Arabidopsis thaliana: one gene and its partners. The protein of the gene in region 2 interacts with the protein of the main gene of each other region in a pairwise test. Each region holds a gene or a part of one and is shown on either strand. Other genes may lie near its edges.

Region 1 (7,914 bases), on a different chromosome or scaffold from region 2:
GTCTCACCAGACATCCCCATTGTTGAATCTGTATCTGCTCCAAATCCAAAACACTCACCAATCACTAAACATATCAAAATACCAAGTACATACATATCCATTTCAGACAATGACCTAACATGATAAGAACCCAATTCCACAATGTACAATCATTATTTCATTCCCTAACCCAAATTTGACAACTTTCTGACAATTCCTATGAGGCAATGCCATAATAGACAAGCAGAGCAAAATCAGACTCATTTTCATCAGAAGAAATAACACTAAAGTTGTCATCTTTAATCTAATCAATGATGATCAATCTCCAAATCTTCATAGCAAAAACCACGAATCTCAAGATGGAACACAATTGCTATAAAAAGTCTCTGAATTTAATACCTCCCCAAAACAATGGCTTGACATCTTCTTCTTCATCATCAAATTCATCACCATAGCCAAACTCAGCATCACCTCTGTAACCAGGCTCACTCCCATACCCAGATTCATTCCCCATTGGATCAACTCCATTAGCAAATCCAAATCCACCAGAAGCTTCCTTCTCTCCACCAGAATCTCGCCGCTCTCTCCGTGAATTCCTCGCCGCCTCACTCACATCAGAAGCCCAATTCGCTTCACCAAAAAGCTCTCCACTTGAATCTGTACCAACAGCGAAAGGCAAATCCGAACAAGTCCCATGAGCACCAATGGAGCAACATCTCCGAGTCCCACTCCGATCACTACTCCGACCAGACACCGATCTCGAATTACGCCGCCGCCGCTTCCTCGCTACTAACCTGAAACTTCCTCTATTGCTGTAATTGGAAGCTGATAATGTCTTCCCTCCATTGTCGTCGTCGGCGAGTGAGAGACGGCTCATAGCTTCGATGGTGAAAGAAGTGGATCGATCGGAGAAGCAAGGGCGTTTGGGAGTAAAGGAGTGAAACCCATTGGTCTGCGGTGGTTGGTCAGATGAGTCTAGGGTTTTGGAGCGGTGAAATGGTCGCCATGAGAGAAGCTGTGAAGTGCATGATTCAATAGAGCTTCGTGATGACTCTAGATGTTTCGGAGACATTGTTAAAGGTAACAACTTTCCAGATCACAAAAAGCGAAAATGAAAAAAGAAAAATCCTTTTGAGTGAATCTGAAATTGGGAATGGATCTGTGTTGTTTTCAAGTTCTTTGAGAATATCGAGTAGTGAAGATTTGGAGTTGTTCTTTTGGGTTTAAGAGCTTTTGATTGAAGATTACGATTTGTTGCAAAACGGGTCAAATGTATTTTATACGGTCAAGACACAATGTATTTTAATACGTACCCGGTCGGTCACGTGACTCACGTGATGATCTCTATGGTATTCGAAAGCCCTAGTCAGATTTCAATTTTCGCCTTTCTTCTTCTCTTCCATCGGAATTTTCTCTCAGGTGATCGGAATCGTTACTGGAATTTTAGTTCATATATAGACGATCAATCAAACCTCTTTAGTTTTCCTTAGGTTAATCGTTATCCAATGAGTTTTTTTTGTGTGTGATCGCTTCTTTGTTTCGATCTATTGACGTTTCGAATCTCAATTTTGATTTTGGTATAGGAAAGAAATAAATGAGCAGCCGTTCGAGTAGAACGATTTACGTCGGGAACCTTCCCGGCGATATCCGTGAAAGAGAAGTTGAAGACTTGTTCAGTAAGGTAAATTACTCGTTTCTCCTAATTTAAGAACTCAGAACTCAGGATCGAATTTTGTGTTATGTGATGAATATGTCTTTACAAGATTTGCATGTGAAAGAAATTGAATGCATCTTCGGAATTGTTGGATTCTGATTTTATTTGGAAGAAGTTTCCTTAAGAATTGTTCTTCCTTATTTTTTTTGAAGTATGGACCTGTTGTTCAAATCGATTTGAAGATTCCGCCGAGGCCTCCAGGCTATGCATTCGTCGAGGTCAGATTTTTTATGCAACCACATGTTTTATAAAGGCTTGTTGTTGATTTTACAGTTAGGCTCTTCGTTGTTGTTGAGTGTTCATGAGTTTTCAAATGTTGGGAGATACTACCACTAATGTTTTGTGATATATGTGATTTAGTTTGAGGATGCTCGTGATGCTGATGATGCAATTTATGGCCGTGATGGTTATGACTTTGATGGGCATCATTTACGGGTTTGTTAATCATCAAATTTCAGAATTTTTACACAAACTTTGTATTGTTGACTGGTAGCCAAACATAATTTATGTGTGTTGGCCATTGCAGGTGGAACTAGCTCATGGTGGGAGGCGTTCATCACATGATGCACGCGGTAGTTATAGTGGTCGTGGTCGTGGCGGTCGTGGTGGTGGTGACGGTGGTGGTCGTGAACGTGGACCATCTAGGAGATCAGAGTACCGCGGTACATATGATATGTTTAGCTTTAGTGTATTCATAAGTTTTAGGAGAAATCACTAAATTAAGATTTTCCACTATACAGTTGTAGTGTCAGGTTTGCCTTCATCTGCGTCCTGGCAAGACCTCAAGGTGATTACACAGTTGTGGACAGATTCCTCATTGTCGTTCCTATATTTTCTACGATTTCTGAATGTTGACATATCACTTTGTTTTGAAGGATCACATGCGTAAAGGAGGAGAAGTTTGTTTTTCTCAAGTGTTTCGTGATGGTAGAGGTAAATCCTCATGTCTTACCCAAGAATAGAGATGTGTCTAAAGCTGTTTGGGTTTTCTGCCTTTAAATCCTGTTTTAACTAGTCTGTGCATGCTTTAAAAAATCTATATCGTGGACTATTTATTTACAGGTACAACTGGAATTGTAGATTATACCAGCTACGAGGACATGAAATATGCGGTGAGATGTTTTTCTTCCTCTTCATATTATTTGATTTTCTGTGTGGGACTGTGGCTGAGAATGTGTTCATCCTTGATTACTCATGATTATATTCTTTATTTTGTCCAGATAAAAAAAGCTCGATGACACAGAGTTTCGGAATGCGTTTTCTCATGAATATGTTCGGGTATGTTAAAGACAAGAATTCTGAGAGCTGCATTCGTTTTTATTGCACTTAACATTTCCCTATGTCATTACAGGTTAGAGAATATGATTCAAGGAGGGATTCGAGGAGCCCCAGCCGTGGAAGATCCTATTCTAAGAGCCGCAGCCGTGGACGGAGTCCCAGCCGTAGTCGTAGCCGCAGCAGAAGCAGGAGCAAGAGCAGAAGTCCAAAGGCTAAATCTTTGCGTAGATCGCCTGCAAAATCTACATCGAGATCTCCTCGCTCTCGCTCCCGCTCTAAGTCGAGGTCACTGTCTCCACGAGGGTATGCTTCATTTCTTCTATAATGTTTATGCTAAAATATCCAACATAAAACATAACATAGGCTCTATTTAGCTCTTCCCTTGAAGTTTGGTGACATCACATTAAAAGATGTCACTGGGATGACTCCGAGTTGTTGATTGAGAATGATGATTGCTTCTAGTTAAGGGTACACGATTTATTTCCTTTGAAAGTCTGGTCTTTTATAATTATAGTGTTGAGAATGGTTTTGTTTCTTAGATATGGATATACATACAATCAACTAAAATATGGGAAATAGTATCTGGATCATGGATGTCTTGGTTGGTTGTACACAACTGTTTCGTCTCAGAGGTATATGCTCTTTCTTAGATGGGCAAGTTCGTTTTCTGATAATATCCATTGCTGCTAGATGGGTAACAGTGGAGAGACATTGGATCGCATTGATATAGTGTCATCAAAATGGACCCATCGAGCTAGGACAGATATTTTCATTACCTGCTAATCGACAAGCGATCTGGATTCTCATGGAACCGATGCTGTTCTGGACACAGGGTTTGATAGAATTAGATTTGCTTTGATATTCTCCATCTCTACCATCTGTTTTAACGAAAAGCAGGCTTGTGTTGGTTTGATTTTCTGCTAGAAATAGTCTGAAGATATGTTTTTTTCTTTTTTGCTTCTTGTGATTGTGTTTTGATGTCTGACATGGAATGAGGCATCAAGGGTCTTGGTGAAACAGCTATTAAACACGGAAATATTGGATTTTTAAAACTGGATTTGTTTCTCGGACTTTTGCAGATCTCGTTCAAGGTCAAGATCTCCTCTACCCTCTCTAAGTCATCTATCTCTAATACACTTTTTACTCCGCTATACTATCAGCACAATATTTTCGGTTTTCAATCCATACTATCCAAAAGACATGATCTATGTCTAGCTAATTACATTCTCATCATCTGGATTGAATTGTGTGTGTTGCAGGTTCAGAAGGAAGCAAGTAAGAGCCCTAGCAAGCAGCTGAGCCCTATCCGTGGTAGGAGCAAGAGCAGAAGCAGGAGTCCATCTCGGTAATGCACACTCTTTTTAACTTGCTTGGAACATTCTCACTCTTTCTCTGAATCTCTTTCCAACTGTTTTACAGGTAAAGAAACATCTCATATCAGGTAAAAAGCTGGGTCTGTTGGAAGATTCTCATAAAGATGATCTCTCTTATGTATGAGAAGTTGAAAAACTAGTTGTGTATTTCATTCTTATTAGCTTGGGTTTGCACATGGGAATGATATATACTCAGTCATCATCAGTTTATGAGCTAAGCTCAGCTGATTTATATGACTTGCTAATATAGTTAGTGCTTAAAACGAACTATCAAAAATTACTGTCGAATACCAAACTTAATTCAAAAGCTCACAATTCGATATTAAAATTTTGAAAACGTTCACAATAAATGAACCTAAAAAGACATGTGCATTGAACTCATTTTGATACCCGGACCCTTTACATTTTAGTTCAGTCCGTACGATGTCATTTTCGAGAGCTGTTGCGCATTACTTACTTGCCTTTGTGTGGGTGTTAGTGAATCTGTGACCCACCTTAAGAACAGTTAAGACTATTCCCGGTTTACGCGTACCGGACCCATAACAGTATAAGTGAATTTGGATAAGAAAGGAGCCGCCTAGAGAGAAGAAGGCGATCCATGGCGGAATCTGTCTTCTCTTGTATACCAGAAGACGTAGTCTTCAACATCTTCTTCAAGCTCCAAGATGATCCAAGAAACTGGGCTCGTCTCGCTTGCGTCTGCACCAAATTCTCCTCAATTGTTCGAAACGTTTGTTGTAAAACTCAGTGCTACTCCGCTATCCCCACCGTCATCTCCGATCTCCTCCCTCTTCCTCCCTCCGCCGCCGCATCCGCTTCTTCATCCACCGCGGCGGATTCGTCTCTTACTCCTCCCGGTGGTTGGGCTTCTTTATACAAACTCGCTGTTTGTTGTCCTGGTCTCTTCCACGCTGGAATTCTCCTCGAAAACTCCGATTTCGGTTTAGAACGTGAGCTAGGTCCCGATCAAAACCTCGATCCGAAACCTACTACGACGGATCTAGCTCTTAACGACGAAGAAGTTTCGAAACCAGTTGGATCTGGTTTAGAAACGACTTCGTTTTGGTCTCTATATGATGATCTCTACACAGATACTATTCCCGCTCCTCCTCCCGAAGATTCAATCGACGATCAAGAAGAAGAAATCGAAACGAGTGAGATCAGACCTGGACGAGATCTTCCGGTAAGGAAACGAAGGAAGATTTGTCGATCTCTAGGATCTCATTTAGCTTCCGGTGGCTGGAACCTTAGCCGTGAACAAGGCAACAAGCTTCTCGCGAGTAGATTCCGAGGTGATTGTCTCTACATTTGCAATTGGCCTGGGTGTATTCACGTAGAAGAGAAACGAAATTACATGTTGTTTAGAGGAGTCTTCAAGGATTTCAAAAGGTCTAGAGTTTGGAGAACGATAAACGACGGTAATCGGAGTAAGACCTCGGGTTTGAAATGCGCGTTTTGTTTGTGCGATGAGACTTGGGATTTGCATTCATCGTTTTGTTTGAGAAGAGTGTTTGGGTTTCATGATGATGGTGAACCAGTTGTGAGAGCTTATGTTTGTGAGAATGGTCATGTCTCTGGTGCTTGGACTGCTTTACCTCTCTACACTTGATAGCTCACTAGAGAGGACAGGTCTTTCATTCTTCTTCCACGGTCTCAAGTCTCAATCTTGTTTGATGTATTTGTAGGAATAGTGTCATTGTGTTTCAAATTCTGGTTAATGTTTAAGTAATGGTTGAAGAAAATTGGCTCAACATATTGTGGTTGTTTTGTTTCAATGTTGACAACATATTAGACTTCGATTCAAATGCATAAACTCTTACGTCAAAGCCAAAAATTTCAAGTCCAAGAACATTTGGAAACAATATAACCCAAAACAAAAGGTAGAAGAAACTTAAACCAAGATCAAATCCATAGAAAGAAAACAGAGTACCAACAACATTCATATAAAAGAGGAAGTAATTCAGAGGGTTTCATAAACCTGAAAAGCTAATAATACCATATGGTTTTTCATCATCTCTAGAACAGAGTCTTCACTTGTCTTCCTTAACAGATGTTGTTTCTTCTGCCGCTGGTGCCTTCTCTGTCGCAAGACCTTCCTCCTTAACGGCATCATCCTTCTTGTCTCCTGATTTTGCTGTCTCTTCTGCAATTTACAGAAAATGTTTCATTACTTCAAAATTCTGCATTTTGTTGAGGAACAAAGAAACACAAAAATCTGCAAAATGTTTCCTAAGACAGAGTACTTGGCATATCATATGGAATATGAGATACTTCAATAACAAAGTCAATCAACTCTGGCGAAATGCTTTCATTTCAAGGAGGCTGTGACCAAACATAAACGAGAAAGATCTTCAAAAGTATTACCTTCATCATCACTGTCTTCAAACTCTTCCATGCCTCCCATACCACCCATGCCTCCCATTCCACCCATGCCTCCCATTCCACCGAGCCCTTCGAGTCCGCCCATTCCACCCATTCCACCCATTCCACCCATTAATTTCTGCACGAAGCAAGGATCAAGTATGAGGTCATTTCTCAGAGCTAGGTATATCTGAAGCACAAAATGAAGGACAATCAAAAGTTAGAAACAAACCGAGAAATCCATTCCTTCCATTCCTCCCATTCCACCCATTCCTCCCATTCCACCCATTCCTCCCATGCCGCCCATGCCTCCCATTCCTCCCATTCCTTCCATTCCTGCCATATCCATATCTGCGGCACCTAAACATAACATAGAAAACAAATAAGTTAACACATCCTGAACTTTATATAAAGTGCAGAGAGTGTACACAAGAACAGATAATATAAGCGTTAAGATGAATGCTAACCAGCACTGCCTTCATCGTCCTCATCAACCCACTTGTCCCAATCAACCTTGACATAGTGTGGGGGCTTCTTCACACGGAGTAGCTTATTCCACCTTTCCGGCTCTGCTTTCTCAATTATGCAGAATATGCTTCTCTCTCCAATGTTGATTTTGCTTTCCTAAAAGGGAAAAAGGTTAAAAGATTTAAGAACTAAACAGGTAACAAATGAAACAATAAGACCAAGTCAGCCTACAAATTCTCACCTCAACATTGACTTTATCGGCAAGTTCCAGTTTGAGCTCATAAACGTGGTTTTCTGGACCAACTTTCGCAGAGAAATCAAAGACTCCTTCTGGGTCTAGGTTAACCTTGGTATCCTTAGTATCAGCTAATACTACAGTGAGGAAAATCTTCTCGGTAGTCTCAGCCCACTTCACTTCAGGATGACGACTGTAAAATACATGAAAAGCAATCACCTTTTAGACCAAAAACATAACAAAAGAGAAACACCCAAATGTGTATACAAAACCTAAGACACGAAACTGTCACTTGATTCTACACTGAAAACTGAAACTTCATTAACAGAAATATGTCTTCAATCACATTACTATCACAAACATAAACCCTAAACCCTAAATCCAACTGCTCTAAGATTCAGGTCTAAACAAGAAGAGATTGATGCAGATATATTCAGAAACAATTGCTGGCTATAATGTACAGAGAAATTCCGGTACCCAACACAATAAACCCTAACCCCAATTTA
Region 2 (7,205 bases):
TTTGTTACTCTTCTCAGTCACATTATCACATCACGCAACAAAACCAAACCAATAAAAAAAAAACAAATTAGTCTTCTTCAAAAACAAAAAAAAACAAAAAAAAAAACTGAGATCTTCAAAATCGTTCAACAAACAGCCTTTTCATTGCCTTCGAAATCTTCACCCGACACATAAAACATAAATATAGTAACCAGTTGCAACAATTTCATCTCTACAAACTCTTTGAAATTCCTGTTCATTGTCTTCAAAGAACGTGTTCAATGTACTATAACAAGTTTCTTAAGAGCTTGGTTTTCTATTACACTAATTGACAAATTAATTAATTTAATAACTATGAAAAAACAAAATTAATGTGGCGTTACAGAGACAAAGAGATTGTGACCAAAAGCCAACGGCTCATTTTCTCAAAAAAAAAAAAACCGTAACGTATCTTCTTCTCCGAGTGTTGGCTTAAATTCAAAAATCCAATTATAATCTCTTGAAGACCGTGACGAATCCTCGTGGCCACTTGAATCTCCGACTATTTCGAAAAAGTTATGGAGGCGAAAACCAGCGGACCTAAGCAAATTCAGCCATCAACACCGGCTCCTCCGCCTTCAACGCGGCGGCCAAGAGTTAGAGAAGTAAGTTCCAGATTCATGTCTCCGGTTACTTCATCCTCTTCCTCCGCCGGAGATCTCCACTCTTTGACTTGTAATTCTCCAAAGCAGCACCACCTTCAACACCACCAGATTCAACGCTCTGTTTCTGCTCAGAGACTTAGACGTCAGTTAAAAATGGCAGACGGAGATGAGAATCGCTCATCAGAGACGGCGGCGCGTAGCCTAGACTCGCCTTTTACACTCTCACAAAGCCGAAAATCATCGAAACCAAGTCACTTGAAGCCGCTCAACGAGAATTCTCACCGGCTCGAAACTCCTACACCAATGGTTCCTCCTCCACCGTCTAGATCACGGCTAAGCCAACAAAGATTACCAACTGCAACGAGACTTCTCCAACTAAGCGGCATATCAGCCTGTTATGAGAAAGAAGGAATCATCAACATTCAGGAGAAACCTAAATCTAACGGCTCAGATCAGTTTCCAACACTTTCTTGTAGAACTCATCTTAAAGTTTTCAACAATCCTGTACCTTCTTCTCTTAATCGATCTGTGAGTTCACCATCTTCAAGCTGTAACGTTCGTGAGAGCAGTTCGTTTTCACGTTTAGGCTTGCCATTGCCTCCAATGGCACCCAAGGTTCCAGCGGATACTAAAAAACAGAGGAAGGTTACAGAGCAATTGGAAGATGTGCATTCTCTGAAACTGCTCCACAATCGTTACCTCCAATGGAGATTTGCAAACGCCAATGCACAAGTGAAGACTCAAACTCATAAAACACAAACTGAGGTTAATTTCTCTGATGGTCTGCTTTTATGGTAAAATCTTTGAACTAAAGGTTCTGTTTATGTTTAATGGTGTTTTGTTTTATCTTGTAGACCATGATCCATTCCTTTGGTTCCAAGATATCAGAATTACATGATTCTGTGCAAAGGAAACGCATAGAGCTTCAACGTTTATTGAAAACTAAAGCTCTTCTCGCGATTACAGAATCTCAAGTAAGCTTAAAGATACTTTAAACTTCCATATTATTGACTCTCACATAAACGTATATGAGACTTATGAGAAAATGTTTCACATTATTTCAGACTCCATGTTTGGAGCAATGGTCTGCTATTGAAGAAGAGTATTCGACTTCGGTGTCACAAACAATCCAAGCTTTTTCCAATGCTTCATTACGGCTTCCACTCGATGGGGATATCATGGTATCTTGTGCTCATGAGTAATATCAACTAGGAAGAATCATCTGCATGTACGTATCAACTAAGAGTTTGCTTGTCAAAAACCAGGTTGATTCTAAACAGTTAGGAGATGGACTTGTGGCTGCTTCAAAGATTGTTGACGGCATTACACAAAATGTTGGAAACTATATGCCAAAGGTTAGTAGAAGAATAGTATCAATGTCAGGGTTTTATTATTTCTATTGAAGATTGACTGTATATCAGAATCCTTGTTGATAATACATTTTGCAGGCAAAGGAGATGGAGAGTTTGTTGTCAGAATTAACAAGAGTGGCTAGAAGTGAAAGATCATTGACAGAAAATTGCGTTGTGGCTCTTCTTAAAACGCAAGCTTCACAAGTACTCAACCTTTCTTTACATAAGTTGAGAATATTTTAAACTTTTATGATCATCGTGCATCCTTTTTTTTTCCTTTGTATAAGAGTTTTAAAAGATCTTTATATATATATATATATATGTTTTGCAGATTGAAGAATGTTCTATGAGAAGTCAACTTATCCAGCAAACAACAAAAGAAGAGTCATCTTCTAAATGAGCACAACTCTTGTTCTACTGAAAGAGATTTATATCGAATGAGTGTAGCATTAAAATCGATTATAGATTATACAGAAATAAAATAAAAAGACTTTTTGACAACATCGTTCTTAAAAATTGCTCAAGCATATAAATCTCCAAAGGAATTAGAAAAGACAATAACGAAGTCACATTGATCAAGAAAACACACATACACACAAGAGAAGAAAGAACAAAAGACACTGTTCAAGAGATCGGAAACAAACTAAAGAAAAAAGAACACGAGACATTGATCTTGATAAAGAAGATCAGAAAGCACACTAACGTCGAAAAAGAAAACTAAAGAATCATTCAAAAGCCCATTGATTCTCCTTACGAATCTCCTCTTCCTCCTCCGGTGTAAAATCGTTCTCGATGCCAAGAAGTGCACGAATCTCGTCTGGTTTCTTGCCAGTGATCATGTCAGCAACAGTTTGGCAACCAAGGTCAAGCAGGTCTTTTATGTTTAGGTAATTCGCAGCCAGCATAACATCAAAGAGAGTCGACGACTGTTCCAGGGCCTTCATGAACTCAGCGTCCCACTTCTTGAGTTCGTCTTTGCTCTCTTCGGTTGGTGAATCAGAAACGACGTGTTTCTTGCAATACTCGATCACCTTCGAGAGGATGACTCCTGTAACGTTTGCGATAGGGACTCCATTGGCGACGCAATCGTCTTCAATCATATGTGCTATCGTCTGTGACTGGACCGCGACTGCTTCTTCGACCTGGAAAGATTCACCATCGGAGCTCAGCAACATAACCATCTTCGACATCGTTTCCTTCTTTTTTCTTTTTGTGGTGGCGATTTTTGTTTACAAGGTTTTCGATGATGGAGAGATATCAAAAGGTGTGTATTTATAGAGAGACCTAATTGTGAGAGTCGGTATAATTCTTGCCTTTTTTCATAATGGATGAAATTACTATTTTAACCTAAAAGGAAAATTCAGTTGAGTAAACCAATCCTAAACCGGGTTTTTGATGGATCTAGTCCCAATTGATCTAATTTCGGTACAAAAAGGAAATCAGATCCGAATCTACGTGTCATAATGAACGGCTCTAATTCAATACAATTGTAACAAGAGTTTAACGAGTGAACCAACAAAAAAGAGGTAAAAAGAAAAAAAAATGGAAACTTTCTAAAACGTTACATGTGTATATTCCATATTTTAAAAAACTCCGAAAGCAAGAAAAATATCTACAAATTTTGTTTATGTCATTCAAAACAAAAGAAAAGAAGAAAAGTAATTATGGTCACGTAAATTTATCATGTGTTCCCTCTTGATATAGCCAAATTTTAATAAATCCAAACCATATCTGCCTCTGTTTAATACCATAATGATTGCATTTTGCACCTCATATCGAATCATCCCATATTTTTTTCTTCATTAAATCCACCAAATTGTTTCTTTAGACTCGAATTTTATATAGTTGTAGGCTTGAGTAGAGGTTATAACCCAAATCAAATTTGATGATAATCTCAAAAGTAGCAAACGTTTACCTTATTCTTAAGAGAAAATGAAAAGAAAACCCCTGCTTTGTCGCAAAGAGAACAAAAACTTTACAGAGTAAAACTTTCACACTATTTTTATTTTTTGATTGTTCAATCTTGACCATTTACATCGGTCTGATTACGATACAAGAATATAAACCAAAATAACCAAGTTGAATATCGAAATTGAAGTGTCATGTACTCTGTTTCGGATTAGAAAACTCAATTACAGTAAGAAAATGAGAAAAAGATTTGACTTCACATATATTCAAGAATTGCTTCAGAAACAAAAGAAAGACTCTTAACAACATCGATCTTAAGATTTGGTTAGCATACCAAAATCCAACAAACGATTCGTCTCTAAAGCAAAGATACAAACATTGGTTGACTTGCACACCAAGAAATCAAAAGAAACACACCGAACAAACAAGAGATAGACGAAGTCTTAGTCATCAATCTACATGAAGCATAAAGAAAACTGAAAACACACACACACTAAAGAAGAAAACGATATAGACGAAGTCACCAGCTACGTAGATTTGCATCAACAACTTTGATGATCCGCTCTCTCATTGAAAAGCCCATTGATTCTCCTCACGAATCTTAGCTACTTCCTCTGCTGTTAGATCGTTCTCGATGTTGAAGTGCGCGCGAATCTCATCTGGAGTTTTCCCTGAGAGCAAATCAGCCTGGAGCAAATCCGAGACAGTTTTACATGTGAGATCAAGAAGGCTTTGAATATTGAGATAATTCGCAGCCATCATAACATCAAAGAGAATGGTTGTTTCGATCGTCTTCATGAAATCAGCGTCCCACTCCTTGAGATCTTCTTCTTCTTTGCTCTTGACGTGCTTCTCGCAATAATCGATCACAATCTTGAGAATCTTGCTTGTGACGTTTCGAAGCGGTATTACATCAGTGGCGCAGCCGTCCTCAACCATATGGTTTATCGCGATTGATTTGCGTGCCACGTCTTCGTCGATCTCGAACGATTTACCATCGGAGCTCTTCAACATGATCTTCGTCGACATTGTTATGGAGCGATTTTTCTCTGGAAAGCAAGGTTGATGAAACAAGATTGAAGAAGAATTTAGAGAGCGATTTGAAGAAAAATGATGTAACGAACTTATGAATCTATGCGTCTGTGTATTTATAAGCTCCAACTGTCAGAGTCGGTGGGATCAACATTTTCAGTGGAGTAAACCAAGCTGAACCGGGTCGAATTTTACAATTGGCCCAGTTTCGTAGATTCGGCCCAAAACTTGATCGAGATGGATTAAATGTCAAAAGAAAAAAAGGATTTGGTTGGTGTTTTATGTGATTTGTTGTTATTCTCACTCACTTCAAGATTTGCCATCAAAGACAAAGTACAAAATGTAACAAACACACAAAAACGTAGTTATACAAATTCGGGGGTTTAACATCAGATAAAGCTACATTACATATAATCTTGTAAAGCTGAATGATACATATTCTAGTAAAAATAATTAAACGTTACATAAAATTACACTCGTAGATTTCACACCAACACATCTTCTATTGAGAAGATTCTTTTTCAATGTCTGGTATAGGGAAGTTTTACTAGCTTGTTCCATACTCAAGTAATTCCCACCTGAATGGCTGAAAGACATATAGCACTTCCGGGCAACTCTTGAACAAAAGAGCGACACAAACGCAAACCGCTGCTATCGCTACCATCGAAAGCATTGCTGGCCTGTAGGCAACAGACTTGTGGTGCGTTGTGACAAACACACGTTTGTGATCACAGAGCTTACATTGGTTTATCTGTGTTATCTCCAAGCTTGAAGAATCCATTGGACTCCTCTTTTCTTGTTTGTGCTCAATGTTGAAAGACTCAGGAATGTTGACCACCACGTGTTCTTTGGCGATTGGTTTCCGACTGAGTTTCCGTTGCACCAGATGAATATACGAGAAGTGACCTCGTAAACGTGCATAGTCTTCTGGTGTGAATCCGGTATTGTCCCGGGAATTTTTCCAGGCTTGAATACCAGTCTGAACCAAACAAGAAGATTTTTTATCAGACAAAAACAGATTTTGAGTTTATATAAGTCAAAGAGGGAAATCAAATTCAAATTTACCATTCCAGGATCCTCAGTCAGGGCATCCAACACATCTTCTGAACCGTCTTTACCAGCTGCAATGTGAAGCGGTGTTAAACCGCCTGGACCAGCTGCATCGGGTCTAAACAAACCGGCTAATGTCTGATTCTTCTTCTTGGGACTGAATCTAAGAAGCATCTCAACCATGGGTTTTGAATTTTTCCTCACGGCTCTGTGAAGAAGACACAGTTCTGATAACGCAGCATCAGGAGATGGATCAACAGTGCCTTCTTCGAATAGAATATTCAATAACTTCTTCATCACACAGCACCATTCCCGGTCCATTGAGAACTCTATTAGAAACTTAAACCGTATTAAAGAAAACAGATCCTCTGGATTATGATCTGATGCTGCAAGTCTTGACTTGAGTTCACTTCTGTGTAGAAGCCAACCGATTTCGTGGATGAAATCCATTGCTTGCATTGCAGAATCAGTTCCAGTAAACTCTAATGTGCTTTCGAGTCTTCGGATTTCAGAACAAATATCTTCGTCTTCAGATACTATGAAAGGGAAGAAACTACTGCTTAGCCCACCTTGGTCTTCAATCTAGATTATTGGCCAGCAAAAATCTCACGTTTAGATATCACTGCAACAACAGGAAACGCAGAGCACGAAACTGAAAGTACACTTACTTCCATGAAACCTCGACCACTTGCAATAGGCATCTCACAGGAAAAATTGACAAAATCAATCTCATTATTCTCCTTTAGATCATCTCTCTCCTCCATCCCTCCTTGTGTTGCTTCCTGAACCAAGTGTGTTCCTTCAACAGTACAAAGTAACCTGTAAAAATGGCGATTAGCATCAACAGAAAAGATATGGAGGGTCAAGCTTCAACGAGTATATAAACATACCTTGTGCCAGGTCGACGGAGATTGATGCCTTTTACTGTAAATTGAGCTTTCTTTGTTACAGCAAGTGGTCTAACAGTAATGATTTGGCTATAATCATGGCTTCTCAGAGGTAAAGATGTGTCAAGAACAACCTGACCTGCACCATGATATAAGAAGAATACTCAGATCTCAAGAAAAAATATGGACACTCATAAATCTAAAGATTCTCAAAACTAACCATTAAACGCAAATGCGAGTTGGTTTTGCACCCTAAGATAAAGCCACCCATCAGTCCATAAAGGATCATCTGAAAGATCTAGAAGCCTCCTCAAGCTGAAACTCAGATCACAACAAAGCTGCCGGAAGAAAGA
Region 3 (8,735 bases), on a different chromosome or scaffold from region 2:
AGTTTAGAGCTGAGGCAAACACTCCCTGAGGAATAAAAACCGAAAAGAAAACAATTAAACACAAACTAGTAAGATGAATCCGTATGTACAGAATCGAGTTCCAATCTTTTTGAGTTCAAGTTCAAATGATTTGAGCTCAAGCTCCAAAACACAAACACACCCAAATAAACATATTACATCTCGGTTGTGAAAACTTACTGCGAATATAACAGCAAGAACCTCAGATTGTGTTAAGCTCCAATCTTTAGGCTCTCTAACAAACAAGATAGCTGTTGTGATCATTATTGATGCACCGAAGAAGTATGAATACGCAGCAACCGAAAGGTAGGCAGGATACTTCTTCAAAACCGGTGCTTGGACAGCGAGAAAAGCAGCCATACACATACAGTTTCCAATCAAACATAAAACTCCAATGTGCCATTGATCAAACCCAAGACCAAGAAAACTAGAGACTAACCACCCATTAAGCTCTGGTTGACTTCTATCAATAATTACACTTTTCACTGAATCTGCTGCATCTTTACCTCCAAACAAGGCTGGACCACGAAACAAAGCCATCGCTATAGCACCCGAAACACAAACAAGAGTACCTCCAACTTTCGTTTGGCCCTCGACTTTCAACAAGTTCACTTTTTCTGTACTGTATACAAAGAAGAAGACCATCAAAAGATTGAAACTTTATATTACAAATTTTCACATTTTACAGTAATGTTGAGGAAACTCATACTCACCCCATCAAGACAGCCAAGAGAAATGTAAAGACAGGGATTGATGGTTGTATAGCAGCAGCATAAGTTGGATTCGTGTAAGATAAACCCATAAGAAATAGTAACTGGTTCCCAAATATCCTATCAAGATTGAGATTGAATGTTGTTATTAGAATCTTTCATTAGCATGATTCAAAAGATAAAGAGATACAAGCTGATTACTTTACCCTGCTAAACCAAGAAAGAAGAGTGAAAAGAAGATGCTTCTATTCATAGGAGGTCTGATCGTTCTACAAGAAATTAAAAGAGCAAATCTTTATCAAAAGACAAATCCAAGTCACACAAAATTGCAATCCATCATTAAACAATAGAACCAGAATTAACAAAGAAAAACAACCCTAATTCCAATTCCAGAGAGATCAAACTATTTGTCTGATTTTGCCGCATATAAACTCATCAAAACAATCAGAAACAGAGACTTCAGAGACTTTAGCAATTCAAGCAAAAGGATAAAGAAACAGAGAGATTTTGAGAAGAAGATAAAAAGGGACCTTTCACGGAAAAAAGCGAGAGGTGCGAGAATGGAGAGAGCAAGAAGATCGCGAAAGACACAAAAAACGAGCTGATTTACACCAACGTTAAGAGCTACTTTCGTAACCACATGGTATCCTCCATTTATGACCTGAACCAATGTCATTGCAGAGTGAGCCATTCGTGTTTCTCTCTCCGTCGCATCGCCGCCGTTTAGGATCGCCGGAGCTGCCATTTTTCTTCTCTACCTCCGAATCGAGGAAGAAGAGAAGGAACACCTGTTGACTAAAGAAATTGAGATCCTTTGATTTGCTCTGTAAATTGTAATTCTAACTTCTCTGTTTTTTCGTTCCAAAAAAAAAAAAAACTTCTCTGGTCATTGTAGTCGTTGGTCTTCTTCAATTTGTTAACTATGATTTTTTGTTAAGTTGAGGCAAAAAAAAATTTGCCAGATTATTTTCTTAAATCTTATACACATTGAAGCCTAACAGATTAACACATTTGTTAAATATGCTCATATATCCTACTTAAAAAATATGAAAATTTTCCACAAAAAATGGTGTAATATAAAAATTCGGTTTACTCGGGTTAAACGGTTCGGTTTGTTCGGTTTTCCGGGTTTTTCGGTTTTCAAAAATTCTGCCGAATTGAACCGAACAAAAATTCGGTTCGGTTCGGTTCGGTACTCGGTTTTTTCGGTTCGGTTACTAGGATTTATAATTCGCCGAAATTAAACCGAATTTTTTTTAATCGGTTAACCTAATCAGTTTAGATCACAATATTAGGCATAGTGGGCTGTTTTTAAAGCCCATATCGGCTTTTGACATTTAAAAACCCAAAACTTTTTTTTTGAGGGACAAGTAAAGTCAAAAAGCCCATGACGGTTTTTAACTTTTCAAAACCCAAATTCTTTTTTTCCAGGGACAAGAAAAGCCCATCACACCCATCTAGGGTTTTGTTTTGTTTTATTTTTTGGAAATGACGGCCGTCAAAGAAAAACAAGGGTGAGATGAAGAAGAAGAACATTGAAAACAGAGAAAATAGATTTGTATTGTGCGGTGGTGAGAAAAGATGTAGAGAACCATGAAATCATTGCCAGAGAAGATCGATGTCGCGGTGGCTTAATAGAATATTTCTGCGAACCTAAAAGGTGGAGAAGAAGAACGAAGACAAGGAGAAGAAGGAGGAATAAGGAAGAATTAGAAGGTTAAAAGATAAAAATGGGTTAGAGATGAGGAGAAATAAAGGTGTTCGTGAAGAGGAGAGTTTAGAAAACAAAGAAGATGAAGTGATAGATCTAGGATTTTTCTGTTTTAAAAGGTATCTCCCCAATCCGAACAAAACCGATCGGTTTTGATGAACCGAACCGAAAAACCCGAAAACCGAAATCAATTTAAAATTCTACCGAACGATTTACAACAGAAAATCGGTTTGAAACCGAAAACCGAAATCGTCGGTTTGTTCGGTTCGGTTTAAACGGGTTATGCCGAACTTCCAGGCCTAATTTTTACAGTGTAATACTGAAGTTGGTAAAATATGCCTTTATTTATGTCGATTAGTGGATCTAGTAATATAACATTTCCTTAAATGAAAAAACTCCTTAAAAAGTAGTTGCTGATCCAATAACAAATGTTCTGTTTTAAGAAAATTTAATTATAGTAGTAGTTCGAACGTCGTTAACTCGTAATAATAATTCAGAAAAATGTTGTTATTTAATCACGTTTAGAAAGCTAATTTGTATTAATGACGCTAACGACAAGGAGGAGGGTTAGTGTTATGGGCTTATTTATTAATATATGGCCCATTTAGGTTATTAGCCCATTTATCAAAATTATTCGGCCCGAGGTCGTCTCCAATCTCACGCCACCGATTCCAAACGCCAACCCTCTCGAGTCTTGTCTCTCTCCAATCCTTTCCTTGGCCGCATAAACGCAACCATCGTCGTCGGAGCTTTGATCTTCACCGACTGAAAAGTATGTCTGTTTCCGATGAGGAAGATGAGTGTTTCGCTCGATTCCTCGAATCAGAAGTCTCATCGGTATAAAAATTTCTCCGTTTATTCAAATTTTCGATTTCATTTAGGGTTTAGTAATTTCTTCTCCATCAATCTTTGAATTTTGTAGCTGAATCTGAAATTCTGTCGAGATTTTCCCGTTCCCCTAGTTTTTTTTTTCATTTTTGATAACTTCAGTTCCTTGATCTGTAAATTTGATCTTATATGCATACATTTGAAATTTTTGAAAAATCACATAATTTTTGTTCATGTTCTTCGATTGATGTCCATTGTGATTTTGCTCTTGTTCAGCGTTGTCCTGTGAAAGGTTAGATTATTTATTGATGCTTTGGTTTTTGTAGGTAGAGGATAAAGAAGAAACGAAAGAACCTGAGGCAAAACGGCAACGTATTGAGAAAGGCGAAACAAAGGCTCTAGAGAAGGATGAAGATCAAAAGGAAAATGGTAACAAAGATAAAACTGATGCAAAGAGAATAGAGAGTGGAGTTTTCACCAATGTTCCTACTGAGCTGTTTCGTCATATTCTCAAGTTCTTATCTTCGGAGGTATATACTATATAGTTCAAACTCGAACTTTATTGATGTTTGAGGATTGCTTTTAAACTAAATTGTTTGAATGTCATTACAGGATCTTGTATCATGCTCCTTGGTTTGTAAATTTCTCAATTTTGCTGCGGCTGATGAATCCTTATGGCGTCGCCTGTAAGCCTCTTCTTGTACCCCTTATTGTCGTTGATAATCTTGTTTTCAAAATCAATACTTTGTATTCAAAAACGATGTGATGATCTTATTGGTTGTTTTTTGTTTATATGCAGGTACTGTATCCGGTGGGGTCTAACTCTTCCAAGTAGAAAGTTACGTGAATCTGCTTGGAAGAAGCTTTATATTGATGTGAGTTTCTCCTTGGTTTTTCGTATAAACTTGTTAGATGTTTCCAAGTAGTATTACATTGCTGAAGAATATACAGTGTTAGTTTGCGTTGCTAGTAGAAGTCAGATCATATATATTTTTAAGTGATTCCTTTCTCTTGTCGAATTTTAGCGTGATGAACAGGACATGATTGAACTTGTCAGAACCTGTCCGTCGGATTTCAAGGAGTATTACGTACATATGCAAGCAGCAAAGAGAAGCCAAGCACCTCTTCCGTCCCAGGTAACTATTTATAATTATCTGTTTATGTTTTAGGACAAATCATCACGTGAAGAATTTTCTCATGTTCTTGTTTGCAATTTTTAGATGGTGGATGACCGGATAATTCTTGACAATACTGTACTTGAACAAGTTTCTCTATGGAAGAAAAGCAAAGGACTTACTGATAAGGCTGTCACTGGCCATATTTGTTTGGGAACCAAATGTTCATACCATCAGATTGACGACGTGTTCATATGCAAAGAGACGGGAAATGTTCATGGTATGTAATGAAATGCTGTAAAATGTAACTTTGTTACTGTGTTTTACTCTAAACTTACATAGTTTTTATGGTCTTTATAACAGTATGCGATGATAACTGCAAGGAAGTAATACTGAGTCCAGAGGGTGACCTCATGGTGTGTACTATCTCAGGAGTTTGTTCTGATACTTTACTTGTACAAACTGAGCCAGACGCAGATGGGTGTTATGAGGAAGAAGCTGAACTAGAAGCTGAAGTATTCACAGATAAAAGCCGATTAGGTACACATCTATCTATCTCTTTCTCATATCTCTCACACACTTCCTTTTCCAAATATTATTTTTATTTTCCAACATAAGTGAACTATTTGCGTCTTCTTTTCATCGCAGCCCGAGCTTTTGAACTTGGCTACAACTGCGATGATGAGCAGGAACTGGAACGTACCCTGAGGTTCTGCTGAGCAAAAGTCTCGACCTTTTGTCCAATTTCATAAGGCCTACTTTCTGTAAGGTCTTCTCTCTCTCTCTCTCTCTGACCTGATTCTGCCTGGGTTCTGTGGAGTTGAAATGAATCAAATGTAGCTCTTGTTTTAATCAGTCAGCTTTGTAACGTATACATATATATCATTGTATGTGATTAACATTGTCCTTAAAAAGTGTTACACCTAGTAATTACGTTCCAACTTTATCAGTAAACCTATTGGTAACTAGTAATTTGCTCCCGATATTGGTTTTCTCATTAATTTTTATAGCCATTCTTTGTTCATTTAAACCATATTACAAATTTGTCCTGGTTAGAACTGATTATGATGACAAATCGATGATTAGTTCAAAATGAAGTTTATAGCAATATATTCTAATAACTATACATCAATTATCACCACTGATGTGTTTGAATGAAAAATGAATTGATAATCTTAATAAATGTTTGATTTTATAGATAAGTATAAAGTATGAATGGATTTAGAAAATTTTAGTATTTAGTGAGATAAGCATAAGCAAAACTAGAAAAATGAAATTATTATTAAATAAATTCATTAATACACATTGGCAATGTGACATTGCCTAAAATCAAATATGTACTAATTCAATTAATGTTAATAAGAATTTTTTGGATTCGATTCTCTTGCGAAAGTGCAAATTAAAAGACATTCTTATCTCCTACGTAAACAGAATCACGCGTCCATTGCGCGTTCTCGCAACGCTAAAATATTTACGTTGGAAAATATTCTCATAATTCTCTCCTTTGCCCCCACAGTTTAATATATTTCATAAACACCCCCACGAGAAATTAAAAACCGTTCCAAATTTGAAAAAATACAACAAACAATTCATGAAAATATTCAATCTATAAGCAAAACATTGGTAGTGTTACATGTGTCGTCCTTCGTGCTGAAAATTTGGATAGCATTGTTAATTATGACAACGTAAGTGTAGCCTGTGATTCATAGTAAAATATAAGGACTAAAAATAAAAATATATCTTTTTTGGAAATCGTACCGCGTAAGAAACATGTATAAATACCTATAAGGTCTTATTTTTTTCTCTTCCAATTTCGTTTCGACATATTTCGCGATTCGTCTAAGGTAAAAAAAAACTCATCTTTTTTTCTTTTAGATCGTTAATTTTTGATCAGCGATTCGCTCTTCTGATCTGTGTTCTTTAAGCTTGTCTTCTCTCTTGATTCGATCTGCTGAAAACCTAGAAATTTTTGATTTTTTTGTTTGTTTTGCTCCATGTGTATGGGTATATTTACGATTTTAACAAAACAAAAATATGAATTGAGGTTTTTTATTTAGCGAATTGGGTTTTAATTGTTCACATTCGTTTGGCTCTCTCGAGGTGAGTGATAAAGTATAGAACTTTCTTATGCTTAGGATCTTAAATTCGAGTTCTTTGATTTACCTGTCATGTGTTATTGATTGATCTCATTTATATTGTGTCTGCTTGATGTTTAAAGCTTGGTGTATGCAATTTGATTGGGTTTACTGGAGATTGATCTGTGACCTAATCAATGAGTGATAACATTGCTGGTTCATCTGATTTCTCATCTGGTGTGTCTGCTCGATTCCCTGAAGAAAGTTTGAAACTCAGGCTTGGTTTGTGCAGTTTGATTGATTTATCTCATTACTTGACTCTGGTGTACTTGATTCTTTGATGAAAGCTTGAAGTTAATGTTTGGTTTGTGCAATATGATTGGGATTAACTGCATTTGATCTCTGACCAAAATCAGTGATTAATTACATTGCTTGGTTATCTCATTACTTGAGTTTGGTGTTCCTGCATGATCCCCTGAGCTTGAAGTTCATGCTTGGTTTGTCCAATTGTGACCTAAATTGATGTTTTCTTGTGGTATCTTTTCGTAGGTTTTGTTACTGATTGAGAAAACATGGGAGGTGACAATGATAATGACAAAGACAAAGGGTTTCATGGGTATCCTCCCGCTGGATACCCACCCCCTGGGGCTTATCCACCCGCTGGATACCCACAACAAGGTTACCCTCCACCACCCGGTGCTTACCCGCCTGCAGGTTATCCTCCGGGTGCCTACCCACCTGCTCCTGGTGGTTATCCTCCCGCCCCTGGTTATGGTGGTTATCCTCCAGCTCCTGGTTATGGAGGTTATCCTCCTGCACCTGGTCATGGTGGTTACCCTCCTGCTGGCTATCCTGCTCATCACTCAGGTACTGTGTTTCTTTTGCTAATGGTTTTTTTCTCCCATGTAGTTTGCCAGTTAAGTGTTGTAATGGTCACTGTACAAACAAGTTAAAATAGGAGAAGTTGTTTATATGTTGTTTTGTGATTGTCTGTATGTTCATTGCTAAAATCTGAGATTTAGTATCATATTTGGTGTTAAATGTCACTTTGGTTTCTTTATTCATGCTGTTATTTATACTTGTTTCAGGACACGCAGGAGGAATTGGGGGTATGATTGCAGGTGCTGCAGCTGCCTATGGAGCTCACCACGTAGCTCATAGCTCTCACGGTCCTTACGGACATGCTGCATATGGTCACGGTTTTGGCCATGGTCATGGCTATGGCTATGGTCATGGTCATGGTAAGTTCAAGCATGGGAAGCACGGGAAGTTCAAGCATGGGAAGCATGGAATGTTTGGAGGAGGCAAGTTCAAGAAGTGGAAGTGATCTAGTTAATACCTTTTGTGAATCTGTCTGGACTGACCAATGTTTCAAATAAGCCCTAAACATTATATAAGTTGACTTTCGTCGGTTAGATTGCTGGTTCGAGTTGGAATAATTGAAACTTAATTAGTATCAAATCTTATTGTGTACTTTAAAGCTATCGTTGGCTTTATAATGACAGATTCTGGTTTCGGTGTGTTGTTTTAAGATTTTTGTATATACTGTTTTTTACATTGCTTAAGCTTATAGAAGTCATGATTATGATTAATTGTTATCTTAAACAGACAAATCACTTAATTATTCTCTATACTATATACAAATATATACAATTAGAGCTAGATTAGGATGAGTTTACAACGGGTTGAATCAACTTACGTTGGTCCATCGCAACTTCTCTACTTACACTTGGCCAGAAGGAAAAAAAGAATAAACGAAGGAAAAAAGAGCTTTGATTTTGAGTGAGCTTTGGTGTTGTGGCATATGAAATGCTCTGTTTTTGTTATTAAAAATATATAAATGGCCAGACCTGAGTTGAGGGAAAGTTTTGGTGGATGATGAAACTCCATGATCCGAATTCGATCTTCTTGTAAACAAAAACACATTTTTTTAGGAAGTTTGTTAGTTGGGTTTTGTTCCAATTGGTTTACATAGTTAGAAATGCAGACGGCTTGACTAACCACTGCATTAGTTAAAAGGCGCTCCAAACTCGGATCATGCAATATGATGGCCCAATTGAGGATCTCACGGATCTCATGAATTTCATGGTCCGTTCAACCTGAGTCCGCTCGTAGATCATATCCATTGAATCGTTGAGCCACAAGAGTAGTTTACTATGTAGCATCTCGGTGCGTTCCTATTAGGGGTAACTGGATCACCTGATCTTCTTTATTTTGACACGCTTTTTATCAAAAAAAACTAATCAAAAAAAAAACTCATATAAATGGTGTTTATGAT
Region 4 (8,510 bases), on a different chromosome or scaffold from region 2:
TATCGACAGTACAATAAATCTATGTCCAATGATCAGGACAGTAACGTATAACAGCGATACAAGATTATTAGAAGGTAAAGAGAACTTCATTTCCTAAAACTAAACTATGACTACTTTGCACAATATACTGCTGCAAAATTTGGTACTTCTATCGAACCAAAGGCCATTAAGACTTTCTAGAAGTAATAAAGCCTCACCTCGAAGAACACAGCCATACCAAATCGACGAGCCTTTTCCGATCTGAACATCACCAATAACAGAAGCACTCGGAGCCACAAACACATCTTTATCCACCAATGGTGATTTATCAAACACATTCATCAACGTCCGATGCCTCGACACTGAAAACAAACACAAATTTCTCGAATCAAATTTTTTCAATCTAAGCCACAAATTTCTCCAATCAAAGGTGAAGACACAAATTAGAGATAACGAATTGGATCTAGGGTTTCAATAGAGAGTATTAAGTGGAAGGATCTGGAAGCTTACGATGTTCCTCGATACGGTGACTTCCTTGAAGAAGAGAACCAACGCGATCAAGAGCTTGACCAGTTCCACGAATCCAGTTACCCACAGTGTAAATTGCTCGTCCTAGGGTTCCCATTTTTTTGTGATTCTCCGATTACCCAAAGTGTGAAAATGAGAAGGCTTTGTTGTTTTTGGTGTCGCTCCACCAGATAGAGAGAGGTTTATGGAGGCGTATTGATGGGAGGATTTTTTTTTTTAACTCGAGTGAGTTCGTTTATTTTGTTGACCTCTAAATTTTTAGAGTATGGAGTGGTAACTGGTAAGCTAAACCAAACCGAAATTTATTGGTTGGACTTACAGAGATTGTGAATACAAAATCCGGATAGATTCGTTTTGCAATGTAAGGAGATGGAACAAAGCTTTCAGGAGACAAACACAAAAATGAGTAAAATAATTAATATAATTTAGCAAAGAAAATAAAGAGATAAAAATAGAGATATTAGCTTATATTGTGCATTGGATATTGGAAGTATTGCATAAAGCAAAGAAATAGTTTTTAGTATAAGGATTGGAAAAAACATTGTTTGTATCTAAAATGGGGTCAAGAATGTAGAAGATGGAGTTTCTTGGGTGTTTTTCTTGGAGTTATACTAGAAAGAAGTCGGGCAAGTGATATTTACGCGTGGGCGATTTCTCTCTCAAATTTTTTTCTTCTTATAATCACAATCTCTTGTTCCGTCAATAAGTTTTTTCGTTGACTCCAGCGACGAAGAAACCCATTGGGACATGGTGCTTCAACCGTGATCCGCTACATCTTCTCGGCAATTCAATCTATTCAAAATCAAGGGAGCAGTGGAGGGCAAATGCGGCATTAGGGGAGTGCAAGAGGAGCAATTGCACAGGATCCAAAAATTATTTGATCAAAATTAAAGGGTAAAATAAAAAAATTTATCAAATTTGAGGTCAAAAAGATAATTTTGACTAAATCTGAGGGCCATAATAAAATTTTAACTAAATGTAAGGGCCAAACTCAAAATATTTAGTATAAAAGGGCTAAATTTGAAAATTTGTACAGTGACAGAGAATATATTGAGTTGGCCCTGGTGGAGGGGAGAAGATTATGCGAGACACTGTCGGTAAGAGCTATATCGGTGGTGTGGCTTCACGGAGAGGAAGGATGAGACTTCACAGTGAAGAACAAGGGCTGACGGCGGTTAGGTCGGAAGTCTAAAGATTCTGGAGGTTTCATTGGGTCGCCGCTTGATGGGGGAGGTCGACTCCGCTTCGGTGAGGCTTTACCACCGTCGATGGTCTTGAGATCTACTCACTACTGCCGTCAACTCTCTCGACTGAGCTATGAGATTCATGACTATGGCAACCCGGATCGCCTCTTCCTCCTCAAAACTGCTCTACGGTGGCAGGAGGACAACGGATCCTGAATTACCATCTCCGTTCGACGAATCTCGTCTAGGCTCCCCAAAGGGTTTCTGTTCCGGTGAGATTCTGCAATTCTTGGACGGCGGCTCAGATCGTGTTTTACGATATGAGATTAGGATTTTCAACTTTCGGTTTAGATCGGTTTTGTAATAGATGGTTTAGTCTGGTTATATGTAAGTGGATTGAGTCTAAGGGAAAATGTATGAGCCTAAATCCGGAAATAGTCCATTGGACCTTATTTATAACATTGAAAACCATTTTACAAAAAAAAAGATGGAGTCTCTTTTCTTAGGGTCTCCACCTCTCTTTATAGTCTTTTCCTTCCTCCTATGTATCTTTATTTGGCCATTAGGTACATATCTAGCTCATAAAATAACTCTCATAATTAATTCGTAAACTTGAATGGCAAGTTTACTCCTTAAACCATGACCATTAATTCATAAATTTAATCACAAATTAATATCAAGATTTAACCACCTTTCTTATGCAAGATGTACATTCTTTGCTCTGTAAAGTGATGGAACTTGGATGCGTAAGATGGATTTGTCGTGCGCGATCCGGTATCAACATAAGCTTGAGTTCTTTGAGTAAGGTTATTTGCTTGAAGACTAATATTCTTGTAATGCTGTTGGATATGAATTTGGATTAAGTAGTTGCGAGGTGACCTGACAAATACGCCGTGAGAAGGACTTAGTTCAAGTGATTGCGAAGTAAACCCAACTTATGCATCATGAGATGAGCTCGGTTTGAGTGATTTGTGAGGTGGAATCGATATATGTGTCGCGAGCTGAAGAGAACATCGAATATGCTCTTTCCGAGTTGGAGCCTTAATCCTGAAATTTGTAACGAAAGTTGGTTACTAGAGGGGATATTTTGAGCCTTAGGTGGTTTGATGCCACCGACTAATAAAATATTTGCATGATACTTAGAGTATGCTATGAGTTTTTTTGTTTTCATTGTGAGGATAAGATCTCGAAAAATTGTGTCTACAAATGTGAGTATAATCTACCCTTATACTCTGTGAATTCAACTTTTTGGGGTAAGGTTTGTTTTTTTGGAATGTCTATAGCTGCTTAGGAATCATAACTCCTTTTAGTGTTTACTGCTTTTGGCTGAACAATCTATCTTGGATTGTTTCGAGTTACTGTCCTTTTTAGTTTTAAGTGTTGCAGTTTGATGGGTATAAACTTGAAGGGTTTATAGGACGGTTTCAATCTTCTACTACTACTTATGGTTGGTTGATACGTTGGTAAGTAAGAAGCTCTCTTGACATAAGCATAAGATGGAAGCTATAAGTTCAGATGCGAAACTTAGTTTTCGTTTCCTGTTCTTATTGAGAAGTCAAGATGTTTGTCTTTCAACACTGCTGCCAGGGCTTCTACCTTCTCCTTTGGTAGTTGATCTTCTAGCATCCTGATCCTTCTGTTTTGTACATGAACCTTGATTCAGTCTTTTAAAAGTTCATGTTCAATCTTTTTATATAGACGTCTTTGTAATGTGTAATATCATCTCTGTATCATGGATGTTTGTACAATATTTCATATAAATAACAACACCTTTTGGCAAAAAAAAAAACAACATCAAATTCTTGTATTTACTTAGTTACATATAATTCAATTTAACATACACAATAAAATAACCTGATACGTAATATTTCTTATTATTAATTTCTTTGTAAATTTACTAAAAATTTAAAATACACCTTCAAATATCATATTTCGTGCCAATTAATAAAATTTTAAAAAAATCCAGTTGTAATTAACTCTCAAAAAAGCAAAAATTATCAGCTAATAAATAGTTTTACAAAAAAAAAATCCTATTTTGAGTAATTTACTAATTTCAATTGAAAAACATGAGCCGCGCTTAGTCTTTTTCCGTTTTACTAATTAAAAGAAAAAAACCCATCTGTCTTCTCTTTTTCTTCTTCCTCCTCGAAATCATTGCGGTTACTGTCGTCTTCCTCCTTCCTCTCCTCTTCGGAATCGAAGCTCACGACGGCGACAGTAACGGCATCGGAGAGGTGTTGGTGTTGGTGGTTCATTTAACTTAACATTTTCGAGAAGAGAAGGCTTTTAATTTCAAATTCCTCGCTGAATTTTTCTTCTTCTTCTTCGTCTTCATCGGAAGAAGAAGAATCCAAAAACTTATCTCATCTGCAGAAATATAATTGTGCTTCCCCATGGATTTGTCGCTTTTGTTGGTAACAATAATTCTCTCTTCCTCTCTTTCTCGTTTCTCGATGTTTTGTTTATTTAAAACTTTCTCGAACTCTTCACGATATTGCCGGAGAAGCCGGATCCATGCTCTTTTCATGATTTTGCTTTCTCCAATGAATAAAGTTTCTCTTTGGTGAATACTGAGACATTTCTGTTGATTTACTTTGTTCATCATCAGCCAAAACGGAGCTGGGAAATTTCTGGGGGAGCAGATAAAATCAGGTACAAATTAGGGTTTTTGATTTGGTCTCTCAAACTCTCAATTACAGAAATTATAATAGTTTTGTTTGTAGCAGAGTAGCAATGTCATTGAAGAACATAGTGAAGAACAAATACAAAGCTATTGGTAGAAGAGGGAGGTCACACATTGCACCAGAAGGATCATCTGTGTCTTCTTCTTTATCAACTAATGAAGGTTTAAACCAGAGTATTTGGGTTGATTTGCCTCCAGAGTTACTTCTTGATATAATCCAAAGGATTGAGTCTGAACAGAGTTTATGGCCGGGGAGGAGAGATGTTGTTGCTTGTGCTTCGGTTTGTAAGTCATGGAGGGAGATGACTAAAGAAGTTGTTAAAGTTCCTGAGCTCTCTGGTTTGATCACGTTTCCGATTTCTTTAAGACAGGTTTGTTACTCTTGACCAGTTTGTCTTATAATCGATTATCATTGTGTCTAAAACATTGGTTTTGTTTGGCTTAGCCTGGACCTAGAGATGCTCCAATTCAATGCTTTATTAAACGTGAAAGAGCTACGGGGATATACCGTCTCTATCTTGGTTTAAGCCCTGGTTAGTTTTACTAGTTCACCTTAAGAACCTCTTATGAATTGAGTTTGGACTGTTTTATATATCACATTCGTCTTCTTATAGCTCTTTCCGGTGACAAGAGTAAGTTGTTGTTATCTGCAAAGAGAGTCAGGAGAGCGACGGGTGCGGAGTTTGTTGTATCGTTATCGGGGAATGACTTCTCGAGAAGTAGTAGTAATTACATAGGAAAACTGAGGTAAAGTCTTCTTCTTTTTGTTCTATATGATCACCATGCCCATCTATTATAAGTCTTGTTGTGTGTGGTGGACAGATCAAATTTCCTGGGAACGAAGTTCACAGTCTACGAAAACCAACCTCCTCCGTTTAACCGAAAGCTCCCACCATCGATGCAAGTGTCTCCATGGGTATCGTCGTCATCTAGTAGTTACAACATAGCTTCAATCTTGTATGAGCTGAATGTTCTGAGAACCAGAGGTCCAAGAAGAATGCAATGTATAATGCACAGTATCCCGATTTCAGCGATTCAAGAAGGCGGCAAAATCCAGTCGCCAACGGAGTTCACAAACCAAGGAAAGAAGAAGAAGAAGCCGCTGATGGATTTCTGCTCAGGGAACCTGGGAGGAGAATCCGTTATAAAAGAACCATTAATTCTGAAAAACAAGTCGCCGAGATGGCACGAACAGCTTCAGTGCTGGTGTCTAAACTTCAAAGGTCGAGTCACAGTCGCCTCGGTGAAAAACTTCCAGCTAGTGGCAGCTGCTGCAGAAGCAGGGAAGAACATGAACATACCAGAAGAGGAACAAGATAGAGTGATATTACAGTTTGGGAAGATAGGCAAAGACATTTTCACAATGGATTATCGTTACCCGATCTCTGCATTCCAAGCTTTTGCTATTTGTTTAAGCAGCTTCGACACGAAGCCAGTCTGCGAATGAAGCAAAACATATCATATCAAATTATATTCTTCTATTTGCAGTTTGTGTGGTTTAATGTACATACTTTTCCCTCTTGGAGCAATCAAACAATCAGATCTTTTTTTTCATTCTAAAAACTTTAATTTCTTCTTAATTTTTTAATTAAAAGTAATTAACGTTTGGTTAAGGTAAGGTATGTTTTAGTCTTTCATTGGAAGCAAAGAGTCATCACCTTTCCTTTATTACAAAACCCAATCTCTGTTTCATTTATTTTTGCAAAAAGTACAATTTTGAACCTAATAAGATTATATAATGAAAGCTTTTGTGAGAGGACTATTAGCAAGAGCTAATGAGGTCCCAAAGATTCATCAGAGGAAGGTATCGGCCGGTTTTGGTTGCTTAACTTCGCCTCCGCCGCCGGAGAAAGGGTTGGAGAATCTGACGGTGGCGGATGTGCTCTCCACGAAGGATACTGACATTGATACGTGGATCTCGTGCCGTACGAATGACACTGTTTCTGACGCTGTTAAAAATGTTCGTTCAAACTTCTTTCTTTTTCTCCGTTTTTATTGTTTGCTCATCACGTTACACACGCATCAATTAGTACCCATGAAAACGAGATTTTTAAAACAATGTATCAATTTTATGGCATTAGTTAGCTTAATATGTTTTTGGGGTACAATTCTTTACCTTTGGACATTTAAGCTGCCATAAGTCTATAAATCTCGAACTAAAAACTCATACAAGAACTATTTTATTTACTTATTAATGTTAGGTTCGTTGCCTACTCCACGTTGTTCTATGTCCCAGCTAATAAAATAAGACGTGATTAATTTCCACATTCGGTGCAATATAATACCTATATGTAGTTTATGTCAATGTGTCATGTATACACGTATGTATATGTCAAATTGTAAATCAGACCAATGTTTTCGAGATATATTTCTATTTTATGTATAATAAGTAAAGCACACATATTTGTATATTATGTCAATTTGTCATGCATATATAAGATATATGCGTAGACCACTAATCTCGTTGGTCGTGTTAAAAACAAAAAACAGATGGCAAAGCATAATATTGGATCGTTGGTCGTGTTAGAACCTGGAGACCAACAATATATAGCAGGAATTGTCACAGAGAGAGGTATATATAAGCTTTCTTTAATAATGTTCTTTCTACGGAAAAATACCAAAAAAAAGGAGTTATGAATATGATCACCCAATACCTTGAATGTTGTAGTTAACAGTTAAAACACACAATTTATTAAGAAGGGTTCTTCATTTTGTGACTAATTATCATCACAAAATGAAACAGACTATATGAAAAAGATCATTGGGGCAGGAAGATCATCAAAGCTTACAAAAGTTGGAGAAGTTATGACAGACGAGGTCAGAATAAACAAAAGATAAAACTCTCAAGTTAATTTTTCATTTTGTAAATTTTCGTAATTTTAAGTAAAAGAATTGGAAATGATTTTGGCCAGAGCAAGTTGGTTACTGTTTCATCTGGGACAAACATAATCAAAGCAATGCAGCTTATGTCAGGTAATTTACTATATATACTTACATATATATATATATATATATCTAATCCAAATTGTAAATTATGTTTTGAAATTGACAAAAGAAAATTGTGTTTTTTTTAAATGATGTAGAGAATCACATAAGGCATGTACCGGTGATTGACGGAAAGATAGTGGGACTGATCTCTATGGTTGATGTGGTTAAAGCCATTGTGGACCATCAAAATGGAGAGCTCAAACGTTTGAATGAATTCATCAAAGGAGACTATTACTAGTTTAGAACCCTAGAAGAAGCAAAGCTTCAATAATACATACTATCAATAACTATGTAAATACAGTTAATAAAGGACTAATTATTTTAACAGATTCCCTAGTCTAAGTGATTATGAGCATAAGCCGATTACGACTATAAGAAGTTAGCACTTAGCATAAAAACATTTAGCGCTTAAAAACATTTTTAGAGTCAGAACATATTTATGAAACTTTAATTTAGAATATCAAATAGTATTGTCGATTCGATAGTCTACTAAAAACCATAATTATCTTACTAATCACCTTTTAGGGACTAAAAAAAGTTCTAATGATCTTGTAGATAATTCATCCTGTCACCTTTTAAGTGTGATGATTGATGAATGATTCTAACCAAAACCAAAGAATACTAGAAAAGTATTTTCAATGATCGGATTCTTTACTGGGCTCAAAGCCCAATGGGCTTTAATAATAATAGGGTTTAATATTATTATTTTTTTTGTTGGGTCTAAGGGTTTTGTAATTTCGAAGCTTCTCTCTCTCGTTTCTCAATCTGCGATTCACCATTTCTCTCGTCTCGTCGTCTCTCAGAAATCTTTGTAAGTGCTTCGTTCCCCATTTCTCTCTGATTAGATTTTGTGTTTGTTCGTTTTGCTTCGATTCTGCGATTTTTGATTTGCCCAATTAGATTCGATTTCGTTCTATGTTCGGATCTGAGACCATTTGTATGTTTAATTCTTCTTTGATTTTGGCTTTGATGTTGATTCCGATCTTGGGTCTTTAAGTGTGTTCATCATTTGTTTTATCTTCTCATATGGTTTCTACAAACTTCTCAACGTCATAGAAATGTATAATTGTTAGTGTTTCGTGGGTTAATCTCAATGTTCTTACTTTCTCTTGTTGTTTAAAGGCCTAGGATTGAATCTGTCGACGAAA

The links.
Region 1: the proteins of SK13 (region 2) and EID1 interact in a two-hybrid assay, tested with the Arabidopsis thaliana proteins (2 studies listed by BioGRID, with this or other methods).
Region 3: the proteins of SK13 (region 2) and AT5G45360 interact in a two-hybrid assay, tested with the Arabidopsis thaliana proteins (2 studies listed by BioGRID).
Region 4: the proteins of SK13 (region 2) and TLP6 interact in a two-hybrid assay, tested with the Arabidopsis thaliana proteins (2 studies listed by BioGRID).

What each region holds. Positions count from the first base shown.
Region 1 is NC_003075.7:1,067,613-1,075,526, forward strand, and holds EID1 (F-box family protein), read left to right. Parts: upstream 1-4,868; 5' UTR 4,869-4,942; coding exon 4,943-5,953; 3' UTR 5,954-6,167; downstream 6,168-7,914. Other genes in the region: AT4G02425 (LYR motif protein), read right to left, coding at 1-34, 379-1,051; SR34b (RNA-binding (RRM/RBD/RNP motifs) family protein), read left to right, coding at 1,574-1,660, 1,846-1,911, 2,054-2,128, 2,220-2,355, 2,434-2,480, 2,569-2,626, 2,756-2,805, 2,924-2,971 and 2 more; AT4G02450 (HSP20-like chaperones superfamily protein), read right to left, coding at 6,375-6,487, 6,709-6,844, 6,938-7,065, 7,173-7,329, 7,415-7,601. UniProt on the Arabidopsis thaliana protein: Component of SCF(ASK-cullin-F-box) E3 ubiquitin ligase complexes, which may mediate the ubiquitination and subsequent proteasomal degradation of target proteins.
Region 2 is NC_003074.8:22,160,394-22,167,598, forward strand, and holds SK13 (SKP1-like 13), read right to left. Parts: upstream 3,209-7,205; 5' UTR 3,166-3,208; coding exon 2,701-3,165; 3' UTR 2,521-2,700; downstream 1-2,520. Other genes in the region: QWRF6 (QWRF motif protein (DUF566)), read left to right, coding at 537-1,388, 1,478-1,597, 1,688-1,804, 1,889-1,978, 2,072-2,179, 2,307-2,375; SK5 (SKP1-like 5), read right to left, coding at 4,451-4,912; SPL12 (squamosa promoter-binding protein-like 12), read right to left, coding at 5,463-5,894, 5,981-6,547, 6,634-6,784, 6,856-6,991, 7,073-7,190. UniProt on the Arabidopsis thaliana protein: Involved in ubiquitination and subsequent proteasomal degradation of target proteins. Together with CUL1, RBX1 and a F-box protein, it forms a SCF E3 ubiquitin ligase complex. The functional specificity of this complex depends on the type of F-box protein.
Region 3 is NC_003076.8:18,381,149-18,389,883, reverse strand, and holds AT5G45360 (F-box family protein), read left to right. Parts: upstream 1-3,012; 5' UTR 3,013-3,213; coding exon 3,214-3,276; intron 3,277-3,593; coding exon 3,594-3,797; intron 3,798-3,879; coding exon 3,880-3,953; intron 3,954-4,066; coding exon 4,067-4,142; intron 4,143-4,292; coding exon 4,293-4,403; intron 4,404-4,487; coding exon 4,488-4,662; intron 4,663-4,745; coding exon 4,746-4,922; intron 4,923-5,030; coding exon 5,031-5,101; 3' UTR 5,102-5,395; downstream 5,396-8,735. Other genes in the region: UMAMIT1 (nodulin MtN21 /EamA-like transporter family protein), read right to left, coding at 1-25, 199-640, 732-848, 935-997, 1,259-1,473; AT5G45350 (proline-rich family protein), read left to right, coding at 7,030-7,324, 7,546-7,784.
Region 4 is NC_003070.9:17,322,744-17,331,253, forward strand, and holds TLP6 (tubby like protein 6), read left to right. Parts: upstream 1-3,812; 5' UTR 3,813-4,084; coding exon 4,085-4,105; intron 4,106-4,221; exon of another isoform or gene 4,222-4,299; coding exon 4,300-4,343; intron 4,344-4,414; coding exon 4,415-4,745; intron 4,746-4,819; coding exon 4,820-4,907; intron 4,908-4,988; coding exon 4,989-5,121; intron 5,122-5,196; coding exon 5,197-5,821; 3' UTR 5,822-5,985; downstream 5,986-8,510. Other genes in the region: GAMMA CA2 (gamma carbonic anhydrase 2), read right to left, coding at 198-341, 490-604; AT1G47265 (uncharacterized protein), read left to right, coding at 1,825-2,055; AT1G47271 (Cystathionine beta-synthase (CBS) family protein), read left to right, coding at 6,113-6,334, 6,865-6,946, 7,118-7,191, 7,287-7,347, 7,458-7,600.